2 linked regions of the Lonchura striata genome follow. The protein of the gene in region 1 interacts with the protein of each later gene in a pairwise test. Links are inferred from orthologs where the notes say so. Each region holds a gene or a part of one and is shown in the gene's direction. Other genes may lie near its edges.

The links. The genes of interacting proteins can lie anywhere in the genome.
Region 2: the proteins of RHOA (region 1) and RIPOR2 interact in binary tests that used the Homo sapiens proteins (3 or more experiments, as listed by UniProt). The link is inferred for Lonchura striata from reciprocal best matches to the Homo sapiens genes RHOA and RIPOR2.

What each region holds. Positions count from the first base shown.
Region 1 is NC_134614.1:10,402,821-10,409,814, forward strand, and holds the start of RHOA (transforming protein RhoA), read left to right. Parts: upstream 1-3,889; 5' UTR 3,890-3,991; intron 3,992-4,997; 5' UTR 4,998-5,102; intron 5,103-6,994. UniProt on the Homo sapiens protein: Small GTPase which cycles between an active GTP-bound and an inactive GDP-bound state.
Region 2 is NC_134603.1:59,942,648-59,950,327, reverse strand, and holds the start of RIPOR2 (rho family-interacting cell polarization regulator 2), read left to right. Parts: upstream 1-4,667; 5' UTR 4,668-5,163; coding exon 5,164-5,251; intron 5,252-5,391; exon of another isoform or gene 5,392-5,706; intron 5,707-7,680. UniProt on the Homo sapiens protein: Acts as an inhibitor of the small GTPase RHOA and plays several roles in the regulation of myoblast and hair cell differentiation, lymphocyte T proliferation and neutrophil polarization.

The sequences.
Region 1 (6,994 bases):
CCATGGAGGCAGAGGATAGGCTTGGAGACACGCAGTTCTTGGAAGGCCAGTGTTCCTCTGAGTCTCAAGGCCTTCCAGCCAGGATTCTCTCAGCAGGAACACAGAGCTGCTTTCTCCTGCTGCAGTAGTCCTGCAACAGGGAAGCCTGACCAAGCCTTGGAGGTGCCTGTGCCAGACACTTGAGCAGCACTGATCTGGGGCTTGTAGGTGTCCTTTCTCCAACCACTGCTAGAGGAGGCCAGCAAATTTTTGGAGCTTCTGCTCCCCCTCTGCATATCAAAGGCTTTGGATTTCCCTATCTGTGTGGACAAGCAGTTCTCTCTTCTGTGAAAACCCTATCCAGAGCACAGGAATTCTCCCTTCATCAGGGCTGTCATAACAGCAACATGCACAGCAGCCATGGGCCCAGCTGCAAACTACCACCCATGGACAACACCAGTGAGCTAATTGCTACAGCAAGGGAGAAGGAGGAGGCTAAAGGACTTGCTTTTAAGGTGGCCACTTCCTTTAGGACTTCAGACAGGTGACTTGCCCTTCAGGATTCTTTATCTCTGAGGCAGATCAAAAACTAAATTCATTAAAGCCTGCATTTGGCCTAAATGTGGTGTAGACTATGCAGAGAGGAAGACTGATGTCCTACATGGAAGAAATAGATCTCCTTTTGGTTTGAACTCTGCTGGGTTTACTTTTTTTTTTTTTTTTTTATTGGCACCATTGGGAGAGTTCCCATTTGCTTAATTAGGCCACATATGAGGAAACAGAAAAGACACTTGGCATATTTGGCTTGACCTGCTAATTTCCATTGTTCATTAATCTGAACTGCCTGGGTTTAGATAAAAGTTTGTGACATTAGGAGCTGGATAGCCAAGTCAGCTGGGAAGGATAAGTTGTTGGGGATTTTTGGGTTGGTTTTGTTTTTTCTACAGACACAAACCCACGTTTTTATTGTGGTAGACAGATGCTTTACACTGCTCAGTTTATAGCCCTAGAACAAAGACAACATTGACATACCATTATGTTTGGTTGGCAAGCATTTCTAGATACTACTCCCAGTTTCTGACAAGATTTTTAAAAGCAAATTATAATGCAATTAACTAATAGGTAAGTTATGGAAGCACTCTTAGTAAATCATGTCAGTGCTGGGGTGCTTGAAGGAAGCTCTCAGTTTCCTGGCACAGAAACTACATTTACTCTTCAGTGAAGTGTATAGCTTGACCAAAAATATAACCCATGGTATATTCCCTAAGGGAAAAAAAAATTTATCAGCTACTGCTTCCAATTATTTCTTCTCAGTTCTTGTTGTTTTCCTGCTAGCTGTAAACACATTTGAAAGACTGTCTGACTTAAGTAGAACTGATTGTAAAAGGTATCCCTGCAATAAAAATATCTGCAAGAGATATTTGGGGTATTTTAGCTTTTCATGGCAGTCAATAAACCATTTTTTCCCCTGTATGGGCCCTTACCTTGGCAAAATAAAATAATTGAGGGGAGGAGGAGAAAGGGAGGGGCTTTGATTTATGACCAAACTAATAGTTTCAGAATACATTGCTTTGATACATAAACAAAGTCCCCAAATGTTGTGTGAGAAGAGCTGCACTTCTGCAGCAGTTTCTCACCCTTGACACAAACCTGGCCATCATGAAAGTCAGGATGAAGACTGTTTTGAATAGCACACGCAAGACAAGAAAAGGTAGCAAGTTCACACTACAGACACCTTCAGAAGATGTGGTTTACAGAGAGAGTTAGACTGAGGATCCTCATTGCTGTCAGTAGAGTTTGTTGGCTACCTTGATTAAAATCAGTTTTGAATCCATTACAAGATACCTATTCACCAAACTGGGAAAAGTCAGCTCCTGAAGTACTTTCATTAACATCATGCCCAAACAGTACCCACCTGAGAGAGCAGGACCTGTGGCCACAGACCCAAATTCAATCAGTGCTCTCCCTTGGGCAAGGAGAAGGAAAAGGAAGCACACACACTGTGATCAAAACACCCGATAGTGTTTTGGAAACAAAGGCAAAAATTCCCAATGGATCATTAAAAAAAAGCAACAGTAGGCCACAAGGATCTCTATTAAACAGTAATAAAAAACAATTATGAAAAGAACCTATGGCCTAGAAATAACTGATTTCTGATTCAAGCCTAACCAACCCGATGTTCAAACCACAGATAATTTCCCTATAAACTTCAGGAAAATGAACTTCTGTCTCAGCAACAGAGGTGTGAAGGCAAACTGGTCAGCCACAGAATAAACTATCATGGGCCTCTGACTGTGCACACTATCAGTCATCCATCAAGAACTGGTACTAAGCTGTAAAAACCATTTACCACATTGAATCAAACGTCTGCTTGGTAAGAAAAAGTCACCTTCCTTGCAATGCTGGCAGAACAAGCCAGTCCCAGGGAGCTGCTTACTGAGAGGAGCTAAGCAGCACCCGTCCTCTACAGGTACCAGAGCAGTCCATAAAAAGGTCAGCCTAAAGTTAGCTGGCAATGCAAATGTTGTCAAATGAGGGAATGGGGAGAAGCACTGCAGATCATGCATCAGAAGCAGCACAGCATCAGTTTCTCTTACAGTGTCCAGGTTAAACAGACCATCCCCAAGTGCCAGCTGAAGGCTGCTGAGCCTGTTCACAAGGGAGCCCTGAGAGACACCAGAGGCTGTTTGTCACCAACCCTCTCCATGCACACATTCCCTTTGCAGTGATGACCTCACCCCGGGGCCCCTGAAGCCAGTTCCACATGTTGAACCTCCTCAGGTGGGCAAGGATGGAAATGATGAAGTAGCATCCTTCCTCCAGTGCATCAACCACAGGTATCTGCACCCTGGGATGAGGGCAGTCCTTGCCATTAAGCTCACCACAGACAAACTCAGGAAATGCTGTGATTCCAACCCTTCCAGCCCCTGCCTTGTGCTGCCTGTGAGCCCCTCAGCTTTCTCCAGCCCCAACGGCACAGCTCAGTGCCTGCTAGGAGCAGAGCTCATTTGCTCCACTGGAATAAATAGGCTCACAGACAAACAGGGTACTTTGATACCACTGCTCCCAACCACCTTTAACTGAATCAATTAGGTTGTAAGACCTGCAGTCATCAAATCCTGCCTATGACCAAACTCCTGGATGTCAGCCAGACCATGGCACTGAGTGCCTCAGCCAGCCTTTCCTTAAACACCTCCAGGGACAGTGACCCCACATCTCCCCAAGCAGCCTGTTCCAATGTCTGATCACCCCTGCTGTGAAGAAATCCTTCCTGATGTCCAGCACAGTGCAGTTTGAGACTACATCCTCTCATCCCATCTCTAGTTCCCAGGCAGGGGACGCCAATTCCCACCTGGCTGCAGCTTTCTGTCAGGAGTTTTACAGAGTAGCATAGCCACCCCTGAGCCTCCTTTTCTTCAGGCTAAACACCCCCAGCTGCTCCTCACAGCACTTGTGCTCCAGACCCCTCACCAGCTTCACTGCCCTTCCCTGGACCCTTCTGGTCCTTCCGAGCTGAGGGGCCCAGAACCACGCACTGGACCGGAAGGGAGAGACGAACCGCCCACAGACAAACCGGGCATCGCGATTCAGGGCCCCACCACAGCCGCCTTTCCCGCAGTAGATGCGGAGGGACCGTGCCCAGCATCGATAACGCCTCACGGAGCAGGCACCGATGAGGCCGCAAGGAGGCGAGCAGCCTCCCTTAAGAGAACACCAACAGGCCCAAAGCCAAGCCCACAGCCCAGCCCCGCCGCTCCCCAACTGCCGCGGCGTAAATAGCACCGGCACCTTTTATAGCGGCCCTTCCCGGCAGCCCCCGCGCGCGGCCGCGCCGATTGGCCGCGGGGCTGGCAGCCGCGCGCGGCCGGGCGGGGCGGCTCGGGAGCGCGCCGCGCGCGGGGCCGGGAGCGCGCACGGCCCGCCCCGCCCCGCCCGTTTCCGCCGCCGCCGCCGCTCGCGCTCGGGCCTGTGGAGCAGGAGGCGGCGGGAGCCGGACCAGCGCAGGCCGCAGGTACCGGGGGGCTCTCTGCCGACCGCGGGGCGCGGGGTGGGGGGGCGGATCGCCGGCCTCTCTTCTCCCCTTCCCCCTTCCCGCCGCCGTCGCCGGGTGGGGCCCGCCCGCCCCCGCCGGGAGTCCGCGGCCTGCGGGCGGGGGCGGCCGGGCCCGGCCGGGCCTCTCGCCGCCACCGCCGCGCACAAAAGGGGAGGGCTGGCGGGGGTGGCCCCTCCGCGAGTTCCTGGGGCCGGTAACGGGGCCCTTTCCGGGCCGCGGGAGCGGGGGAGGGGAGGAAGGGGCGCGGCCCCGGGGCTCTCCCGCGGGAGCCGCCCGCGCCCCGCCCGGGACCCGGTACCGCCGCCGGGCCGTGGGCGGTGTGGCGGGGGCGGTGCTGCCCCCCCGGCCCCGCGGGGTGACACGGGCGGCACCGGGGGTGCCCCGGTGAGTGGCAGCTTGTTGTGTGACGTCAGCGGCGCCGGGGCCGCGCCCCGCCCGCACCGGGGGTCGCCGTCCCGGGCCCCCCGCGGCACACGGGGCCGTGCCGGGCTGCCTCTGCAAGGGCTGCCGGGGGGTTGTGCGCCGCTGAACTTTTATCTCGGGGAGGAATCGGCCTTTGGAGCGAAACTGGAAAGTTTGGGCGGTGTTTTTTGGTGGGGCGGCTGCAGCAGGCCGGGGAAGCGCCGGGGGTGGTTTGACACCACCGGAGCCCCGACAGCCTCACCTGGGCTGAGAGCTGCCCGGTGTTAAAATACACCCCGCATAAACCTTTTCTGCCACGACACCCATTCTTTCGAGCGCGAGAGGAACCTCGAGACTACTGTTTGAGTTTTAAAAATAAGACCCAAAAACTTCTCCCAGAGGTCTGGAGAGTTAGTTATTAGTGATACTCAGGATGAAGTATTGTTCCCAGTCCAGTGATACCACAACTACTTTGATATCCCTTTAAGAGGTGTCTGGAACGGGGGTTTGTTTGTTTTTAGTTGCTGCCTCATATCCAGCTTTTGTTTCTCTCCTCGTACAGTTCACCTGTTTGTTGCAGGGAATTCTTCACCAGCAGTGGTTCCCACCCGCCCTTTCTCTGTGTGATACAGTATTTGGAGAAAATTAAACACTAAGACTTCCCTAGGTAATGTTAAGTTTGTTGTTGCCTTCTCCCCCCACCCCCAGAGCTTAGCCTAAGTGTCAGTTCTGCCATCTGTGTGAATTTGAAATGGTAAACTTCTTCCAGAACCAGACTTCTGTTGTCTTCTTTTTATCTCAGAAATTTCAAAAGTTAATGGTACGTGTCCTAAATGTTTGTGAATCAAAGTATTAGGTTTTCGCATGGCTTTATTTGGGGATTTTTTTTTCCAGTATGGAAATATTAAGTCTTTCCCTCCCTGAAAAGATTGTTTGTGAAAATATTTGCTTGCTGTTGAAGACTCTTTTGATACATGTGTGCTTTCTTCCTGCCCTGTTCTGGTCTTATCCAGGTCTCCAGCCACACAACAACGGCATTTCTCGTTCAAATATACACAGGCTAATTCTGGTACTGATTTGGACCAAGGCTGCATGTTTAAAAAAAGAAAAATGTTAGCCTTATTTCACTTTAATTAGTTCACTGGAATGTTTAACAGCACATTCAGCATAAATGTTTGACATAAATTTGTATGATTTTTACAATAATCCATAAATTTGGATGATTTGTATCATTTAACACTAGAATACATGTGTTTGTCAAAAATAATTTTTCAAGACATGAATGCACCATCACATAAAGGGCAAAATAAATTCAGTCACAGCAGAACTGAGCTGAGCAGCTCTCATGTTATCCCTGCTCACCAAGCTCAGGCTCTGGCCAAGTGCCACAGCAGCCAAGCGCCAGAGGCGGGGAGTTCTCTGAGCCAGGAATTGACAGTAAAAACATCCTAAATGATCTTAACTGCCACCAGGATGTAGGACTGGGGATGGCTCTTCAGATAAGCAAATTGCAAATGAAAACGTTTAGGAGAGGTCTTAGAAGTATCATCATCTTTCCTCATTTTCCGATAGTAACTCTTGGGTTTCTGGTTTTTAGACTTAATCTTTTTCTCTCAATGTATTTAAGTTGCCCAGAATCCTGTGGGCTCTTCCTCACATCTTGTCTGCTCTGTGCTAGATATTTCTGACCTTGGCTACCTTTTCATTAGCCAAGTGTGCCTTCTCAGTGTCTCTACCATTTTACTCCCTGCTGCTTATGGTATCATCAGGTTCTTTCCAAGTCTCCACTCAAACCACCATCTTTTACCTTTAGTACTAAATCTCATCTCTCTCTCTTGTTCTGCTCTGTTGCCTTACAATGTGTTTTTAAACGTAGTTTGAACTAACGTGGAGGAGAAGTGTAATGGGGTGAATTTAAGGAAGTTAGCATGTTGATAAAGTACAGCAAGTGTGCCCTTGAAATCTTAAATTAATCCATTATGAGCTTGTCCTAGTAAAACATATAATAAGGGTGAAACTCTGTAATAGAGAACAGTGCAATGCAAAATAAATGTGCCAAATGACAGCAGACCTTCATTCCATTCCCAGGGCACAGCTATGCACCTGCACACACCTGAATGCATGATGAAAATCCTCTGCTCCTTGCCTTTTGGTATAATTCCTCTCCTGCTATAAATAGTGGGTAGCTAAATAGAAAGAGGTGGTTGCTTATTACTTTTTGGTAAATCTCAAAAATAAGCAAAAATATCCCAAAATACTATCTGTGGTACACTGGTTAAGTTACTGTTACTTTTCCACTGCTGTTCAGTGTCTGGGTGCCTTCTGGTCTTGGTGGGATCTGTTACCACTCATTCTGAACAGTGAATAAAGTAGCAAAGGCTAATTGGAGTTGGTAGAGTGACACTGCCCTGTCCATCCTCTCTTCTGTCCTTTTCCTATCACCATATTTTCATTTGGGAAGGACATTTGAGACTATAAAAGTTGAATTAAAATACCTATAGTCCACCTTTTAATTAATATATTTGCCATCCACACAACTAAAAGCCAGTCTTTCCTAAA
Region 2 (7,680 bases), on another chromosome or scaffold:
CATCGTGGGGTGGAGGAGAACCAGAGTGTGCTTGTGCATGTATAAAGAAAGGTTTTCTCCTCCTCTGTGCTTTAGAGCTTGCCCAAAATTGCCTCAAATGTAGGTGAGGGTGCAAGGTGAACATGGGCTGGGGCCACATTTTAACTATAGTCCTTATGTCAGCAGCAAGTTTCAGAATCAGGCATTACTGCTGGATAACATGGGAAGAGATGGTCACAGTTCCTAAGAGAACCCCCAGATTCAGAATCTCAGCCTGCGGTCATGATGGACGGTGAAGGTTGTGGCAGGGACACTGGTCTGGGCATTTGAGAGCCAAGAAACAAGTAAGAGGCAAGAGATTATCTAATGATTCAAGAGGATCCCAGCAAGGAAGCTAGGAACATATTGACTTTCTGTCTACAAAGCTGAAACCATTCCTGGAAATGGTCTAACAGGGTCCTCTTGATCTTAAGCATGTTGACTGTACTAAGACAGTCCTGAGCAGGAACCTCACATGCTGCAGACCCATGGAAAGCAATGTGTTCCACTGCCTGCACTCCTCTGGGCAAGCTGGTTTTATGGCTGTCCAGCAACAGGACTTCAAGCCAGCCTATTACCAGCAGCATGGATGACACTGTCCTGCAGTCATGCTCCCAAAAAGCAGGCTGATGGTGCCACACCTGTCTCTTCAAGTCTCCAATCCCTCCTGTAATAGCTTTGATCATCTCATAGTGTAGCTGACTTCCAGCTGCCCAGGAAAGCAAAAATTACTTTACAGCAGTTTTTCAAGTGCCTTAACTAGAAAACAAGGACTGATTTTCAAAAACAATAAAAGGGGAAATATAAGGATAGAGCTGCACTACTAGACACACCATCCACACACTTGGTGTGCACGTAAGAGCGGCTCAGCCAGCCCTGGTTGCTAAGCAGTCTGAGAAACTGGAATGTGCTTCTCCCTCCAACCCTGTATGAACATTGCCATGCAAAACCTCCCCAGAAGAGGCATCAGTGCTGATTTTGAAACAGGTTCTGGAGAAAAAAATGCAGTCAGTGGCTCTTTTGTGCTGCTCCCCTAAGTTATATATGTGAGGATAGGTAGGATGTGTGCTTGTGCATACACCTCCCTCACATGCTGCCAGAGGCACAGCCCATTGAGGGGTTCTTGATCTGAAGGCAGCTATCTCAGACCACCACAAATGCAGCTGAAGGTGACTCCTTTTTCTGTCCCTGGCCCTCTCCCTCTGTATCCATAGCTGTTCCTTGACATACCAAGTGCGTCCTGACCACCATGCCACAGGACACAACTACTGCATTATGCTTTGGTCATTCCCAAGGATACAACTGTGCTGAGCATCTGGCCAGAAGTCCAAAATGAAATTTGTTCCTGAATCACTGCAGAAGATCAGCACTAGTAACTTTTCCCCATTAAGTGCCCCAGAGCAACAAGTGGAAAGAATTGCAAAAGCACCATCATGAGAAATGAGGAACTTGAGGGTGGAGCAGGAACACAGTGATGGGAAGTAAAAGGGGGGAAATGATTGCACAGTGGTTAGAGGAGAGAAAAACAAGTAGGTATCAAATTCTTCTAGAAAGAGAGCAAGAAGTGCTACAGGATGGCAATGAATGTGCAACAAACTGGACAGAGAAGCTATAAGGAACAGAGACAATCCAAAGAGCAGCATGGGCAGGGTGCAGTAGAATTGTGGCTACAATTTGACATGCATAGTTGGAAAGAGTAATGGCAAACTTGCATACGGTCAGAATGTTAATGCATACATCTTGCCCAGATTGTTCATGGCAGGTGTCAGGGTCTTGTCTTTTACCTCTCCCCTAAAAACTTTCCCTAGTGATGGTTCCAGCATCTGCCATGTTCCACACACTCAAATATGATCATTTACCTATATTTCTGGACCAAAATCCCCAGTTAAGAGGAGTCAGGTTTGCACCCTTTGTTTCCACAGAAGACTTCCCTGGGTGTGACACCTACTGGAGATGTCCCGTGGGATGTCCATCAGCAATATGAAGATGCCTTGTGCATCTTTTCTGAGCATGGGAGTTACACAGAACCACAGCAAAGACAAGTTACATCAGGAAAAACCAGGTATAAATTGTTTTCCTTAAAGTCTAGGGCAGGCCTGATCTACCTCAGACACGCAAAGCTCAAAGCTGTGGTCTGCCCAACCATCCCCCAATCTCCTTTGGCCTCCTGTTGCTCTGAACATGCTAACAAGAGACCTCCATGCAAACTGCTGTCTGCATGGTCTGCTGAGCATTGCCACCCACTACCAGTCCTTGCTTTCAGGTGAATGAAATCAGCCAGGCCTAAGTCTTTGTGTCTGCATAACAGACATCCATCCCCACAGCAAGCAGGGAAATTTCAACAATATTCAGCTTTTTCAGGGGGTCCACACAGAGCCCTCCCACACAGTATCTTATGGGGAAAAGAGAGTTTCCCCCAGACCTCTGTCCAGACTACTGGGTCATGCTCCCCCTTTCCAGGTTTGTCTAGTCTGCAATGGGCCTGATAGCCTCCTGCTCTCTCGATTCAGGGGATTCAGTGGGCTGGAGTCTGTGTGGCAATGGGAAAAGTGAAGTATCTCTCAATATATCCACCCCCCCAGACGGATGTGTAACTGATGCATATCAGTCAGAAAATCCTGCTCAGCCCTTTCAAGAAGCTTTCTGAGTGCCTGGGAGGAGCAGAGCATTTAGGTATTCTCAGACTATAATCTCTTCTCTTATAATCCTTATTTACTCTTTGGCCTGGAAGCAAAGGCTAATAGAAAGCAAAGTGCTTTAGCAAAGCTCAGCAGGTAATTTAGTGGCTCTGGTTTAGTTGTCTCAAGTATAATGTGGGGTTACCATTGCTGAGAATAAATGTTTGTGAAGGTGCACTGGAGCTGTCTCAGAGACAGAAGTAGACCATAATTGTCAATTACTGCTTTGAAAAGGTCACTGTTTTCTGGAGACAAAGCTAAAATCAGCTGTTGTCACTTAGAATTTCACTGGGGACACTCATGATGACCTATTTTTAACATAACAGAAGATTACGCTGCAATACCGTGAATAATTTATAGGCATAGTAGCATGATCACAGCCACAATACAATGGCAGCTTCAGCTCCTGCCGGATGATGGAGGGAGACAGAGCTCTCTGGCAATTTCCACTGAATTAGCAAAACAAGACACACGTGGAATGACTGTCCCAGCCTTTCAAAAGCATGTGTGTCAGGATGAATACATGTCCAGAAGGACTAAGTGGGGCAAAGATTTTATCTAGAGCATTAATCAACCTACTCAGTCTCCCAGCTGTTTTAACGAGCACTGAGGGCAGAGAAGTGGGAGTGTGTGTAGGGCTGGGTGTGATGGAGAGGAGGAGAGTAGCTTTCTGCATTTGCTATGCTAAACTATATTGAGAAACCAAGAGAAACAGCTCATACATCCCTATCACATGCATTTGCATAGGATGGAGGATATTTCCTTGAAAGAGGAGGCTGCAATATGAATGAGGTAATTTGCATCTGCAACTTTAAGTTTAAAAAATCTTCTGCAAGATAAGATCAAAAAGGCCAGAGGGAGTTGGTAACAATTGACCAGAACTGTAGGAGGCTCCAGGTTGAAGTGAGATGTTGCAATTAGTCTCTGGCATTGAAAACCTTTAACAGATAACCAGGCTTCCACAGTGAGAGCTGCCACCCTCTAAAAGGCTGAAATGGACTCAAATACATATTAAGTATGCATGATGATAGCTTTCAGCGTTGCCACAAATATTTTCTCTCCTCTTTCCCTGGCATTCCATATCCCAAAGTGCACAGATGCTTTTTCCAGAAAGCTATTCCTCCGCCTTTGCCTCAGAGTTCACATCCTGTGTGACACACATGAAATGGGAGAATAGTCCATTCAGTCAGAGATGTAGAAAGGTCACCCTTAAAATTTTGCCTTGGAGCTACAGCAGTGACACTGTGTTGGCAATAGCCCCTACACTTTTTCTAGTGGAGAAATGGGTGCCTCTGGAAATACCACAGCCTTGATTGCTGTAGAGCCCATCTGAACTCAGAAACCTTGGAAACGGCCTCTAGGCCCCAGAGGTCTGCACACCAGTGTGAAGAGCATGCTTCTCTGCTTTTACTAAATCTGGAGTCATTTTGTCTCATTTTTACTTTCTAAGGCTACAGGGTTTATTTTCAGCATACAGTATAAATAACTCATATTCATTATTCCTGCTGAAAATTACTGAAGATGATAGGTCATCTGGAATTGGCAGCTTGGAATTTTGGTCAGGGACAGTCTGGGGGATTGTTTTACATGCACAATGCTCTGTAAAAAACCTAGCTCTGTCTTCCTTGTCATTTGCTTAACTTCTTCATACAACATCATCCTCTGTGTGACAGGTCAGTGTACTCAATGAAAACATTTGCATTCAAAGTGGTGAGTCTAACTGTCCTGACCTAAAAGGGAAAAGATACAGGGATATGGGGAGGGTATCAGCATTGACTTCTCAAGCCTCCTTCCAAATAGTGTCCATTTACCAGCCTAGGAATTGGGTTGGCCAATAGATTTGCCAGGGATTCCCTCTGCCCCTCACTCCCTCTCCCCCCTCCCCCCAGAAAAGAAGCACTTGCAGCTGTTTTAGAGGCACAAGAGGAGCTTGTTGAAGGACCCTATGACAGCTTTAAATGCTGGCAGAGGAACAGAAAATCAAATAGAAAATACAACGTGCGTTTGGTATTTCTGTTGCCTGATGTAAAGTCCACTATTAAAAAAAGTCACAGAAGAGAATTGAAGAAGTCCTCAGGATAGCAACAAATATATGCAAAATCCATCTCTCTAGAGAGATATATTGATAGTAAATAGGACTATCCATTTTTGAAGGAAGACTAAATTTGAAGAAAATACCTCAGAGTCTCTGGGAAAATACAGTATTTCTGCCATTTTTTTTTCTTGGGGTAACAGAAAAACGCTTAAAGAAGGAAACTCAAGGTCCATTAATTGCAATGTTATTTCATTTATATTCGCCTTTAACTGCTGTCTTCAGCCCGCCCAATATCCAAATTTAGAGCTTTCATACACACTACTGAAGGCAACGGAGGCTGCAGCGAGTGGTCCACCGGCTGCGGGGAAGGCGAGCTGCGGGAGCCCGTTCCCTGCCCCATTCCAGGCGGGAAGGGTCAGAGGGATTTTGCAGATGTTCCGCCTTCGGGACAAACGGCCTGAGGGGCCAGACGCATCGAACAAAAAAAAGGAAGAGCCGCACCGCCGCCTCTCCCAAAAAGGTACGGAGGCACCGGCAGCGCCGGCTCCGCCGCATCCCGCGGGGCCGAGCCCGGGGGGCTCCGCAGCCCGCACTGCCCGCGGGGTGGGGGCGGAGGCGGCGCTGCTGCGCGGCCGGCCGCCCGCCCCCTCCTCCGCCTCCGCCTGCCTCCCGCAGCTCCGCAAGGAAAAGCCGGCAGCGGCTTCGCTCGCTGCCAGAGCGGCGGTGCGCGGCGACGGGAGACGAGCTCTTCTCGCTTCTCCTAATTTTTAATTATTTTTTTTTTCATTCTAAAACTTTAATTTTATCTTTTTTTTTTAAATATATAAATTATTATTCGCTGTTTATTAGTTTTCCAGCTGCGGGCGCTGCCGCCCGGGATGGGGCACTGCGGTGCCCGAGGAGCGCTGGGCGGCGGCGGGCGAGCGGCGTCCCGGAGCGGGCTGTGAGCCGCGGCAGCGCCGCCGGCAGCAACAGGTACCCGGCCGGGCTCCCGGAGGGGTGCGGGGCCCGAGCCCGCGGGGGAAGGAAGGAAGGAAGGAAGGAAGGAAGGAAGGAAGGAAGGAAGGAAGGAAGGAAGGAAGGAAGGAAAGGGGCGCTGCTGAACGGGGACGTGGCTGAGAGCAGCTCCAGGGCTGCGGGGCAGGAGAGCCGCGCTCACAGGAGCGGGTCCTAACCCCGCTCATCTGCCGGCGGCGGCGAGGTTTTGAGGAAGGCAAAGGTGCTCTTTTGGGGCGTCCCGGGCATGGTTTTAGGCTGTGATTGTGAAGAAAATCTTGACCATGGGTGTTCCCTGAGGGGCATGAAGCTGGCTTAATATTTTATCACAGAGCGTGGCAATGCTTAGCCCTGTTTCCATAAAAAAGTCTCGGCGTTTCCTCAGGTCTTGTCTTTCTATTTCCAGTGGGCTTTTATGGTATTACTGGTTAGAGGAGAGCTTAGATCCTCTTTAAGTTCCCTTTACAGTCCTCTGGCTCTTTTCCAAGGACTGATGCAAACACATAACACGCTGGCATTGCTCTTCAGTTTACCTCTGAATGCCCTGGTTACAAAAGGTCACCCTAATCCTGTGACTAGTCTTTCTATCGCTGCGTTTGCCGAGCATTTTGGCGTCTCTCATTCAAAGTTTTAAAAAGCTTTCTGGAAACAGTGTGCTTGTGGCCATGCTGCCTTTGCACCCTTTTATCCATCTCTCTGGGAAGAGCTGAGTGTATTCCCAGTGTAATTGCAGGATTCATTAATCTGGCCATGTATTCAGCCACGCTCATTTTGATTACCGTGTTTGAGCTGCTGTCATGCAGCTGGAGCCTGGGGCAGAGAGCACACTCTCAAGCAGAAACATCATCTTCTCCAGTGGTTAATTACATTTCACAAGTATCTCTCTCCTGCATAAACAAAAGTAGGAGCATACCCAAAGAGAGATCTTAAGGAAGGAGACAGGAGGAAGGTGTATTTCCTGAAAGATTCCTTTGCTAGTTGCCGAGCTGTCTGGGAGATCTTCACACACTGGGAAGAGACAAAATGTGATGTGGTTTTTGTGGCCAGACTCAGAAAGGTATCCACTGGGATGGGTTCAGAGCTCTGCTTTATAACCATAATGGGCAAATGTGACAGATTGTTCAATTTTTAAATGAACGTGGGTGGGTATATATGTTGCACAGTGGGAGTCTAAAGGAAGCAAAGTTTATCTTTTTTTCCCATAAATCCAGCGTTTTCTAAGCTAATACCTGAAGATTAGGACAGTACTTAAGATGGTGTCTGTACTGCTTGCAAGTGCAGATAAGCACTTGTGCAAAGTGAACTTTGACGATCCCAGCATCCATAACTTGATGCTGGTTTGACTTTTAGCATCCAAGCTGCATTTCCTTGATGAAGTGTGAGCTCTGGGGATTTTCTTTGTTTTATTTTGTTTTTAAAAAACAATATATTAAATTTCTTTCCAGGATCCTGCATAAGAAACAGAGCACTTAGCTTTGGCATGTTGCTACTCCTCTCTAGAATGACAGGACAGTTATACCTTAGAGGTTTTTCTGCTGCAGAATTAATATTTCTTAAATGCTTTGAAACTTGTAAGTGGAGAAGTGTGTGTTTTGTGAAGGAGCATCAATAAGTGAAAAAGGTGCTTTTCTTCCCATGTGCTTTCAAGGCACATGACCATTTTATTCACCTGTATCACAGAACAAACACTCGGGCTAAGAGTGGTACAAAGCACAGCCTCAAAGCTCACAGTGGCATGTTTACGTGCCATACAGGGTTACCTTTTGCTCTTTGATATTTTTAAACCTGAACAGGCAGAAAGGTAACTTCCACACAAAGTGCAGTGCTGGAAAAGGTCTGGGGAAGCCGCCTTGTTTCCTGCTGGGAGAAGTGGGAGTGAGAGCTATAAGCAGCATTGGCTTTTTCCAAAAAAGGGATGGCTGGTTTGACACTTTTTTTTTTCTGATGCTATAC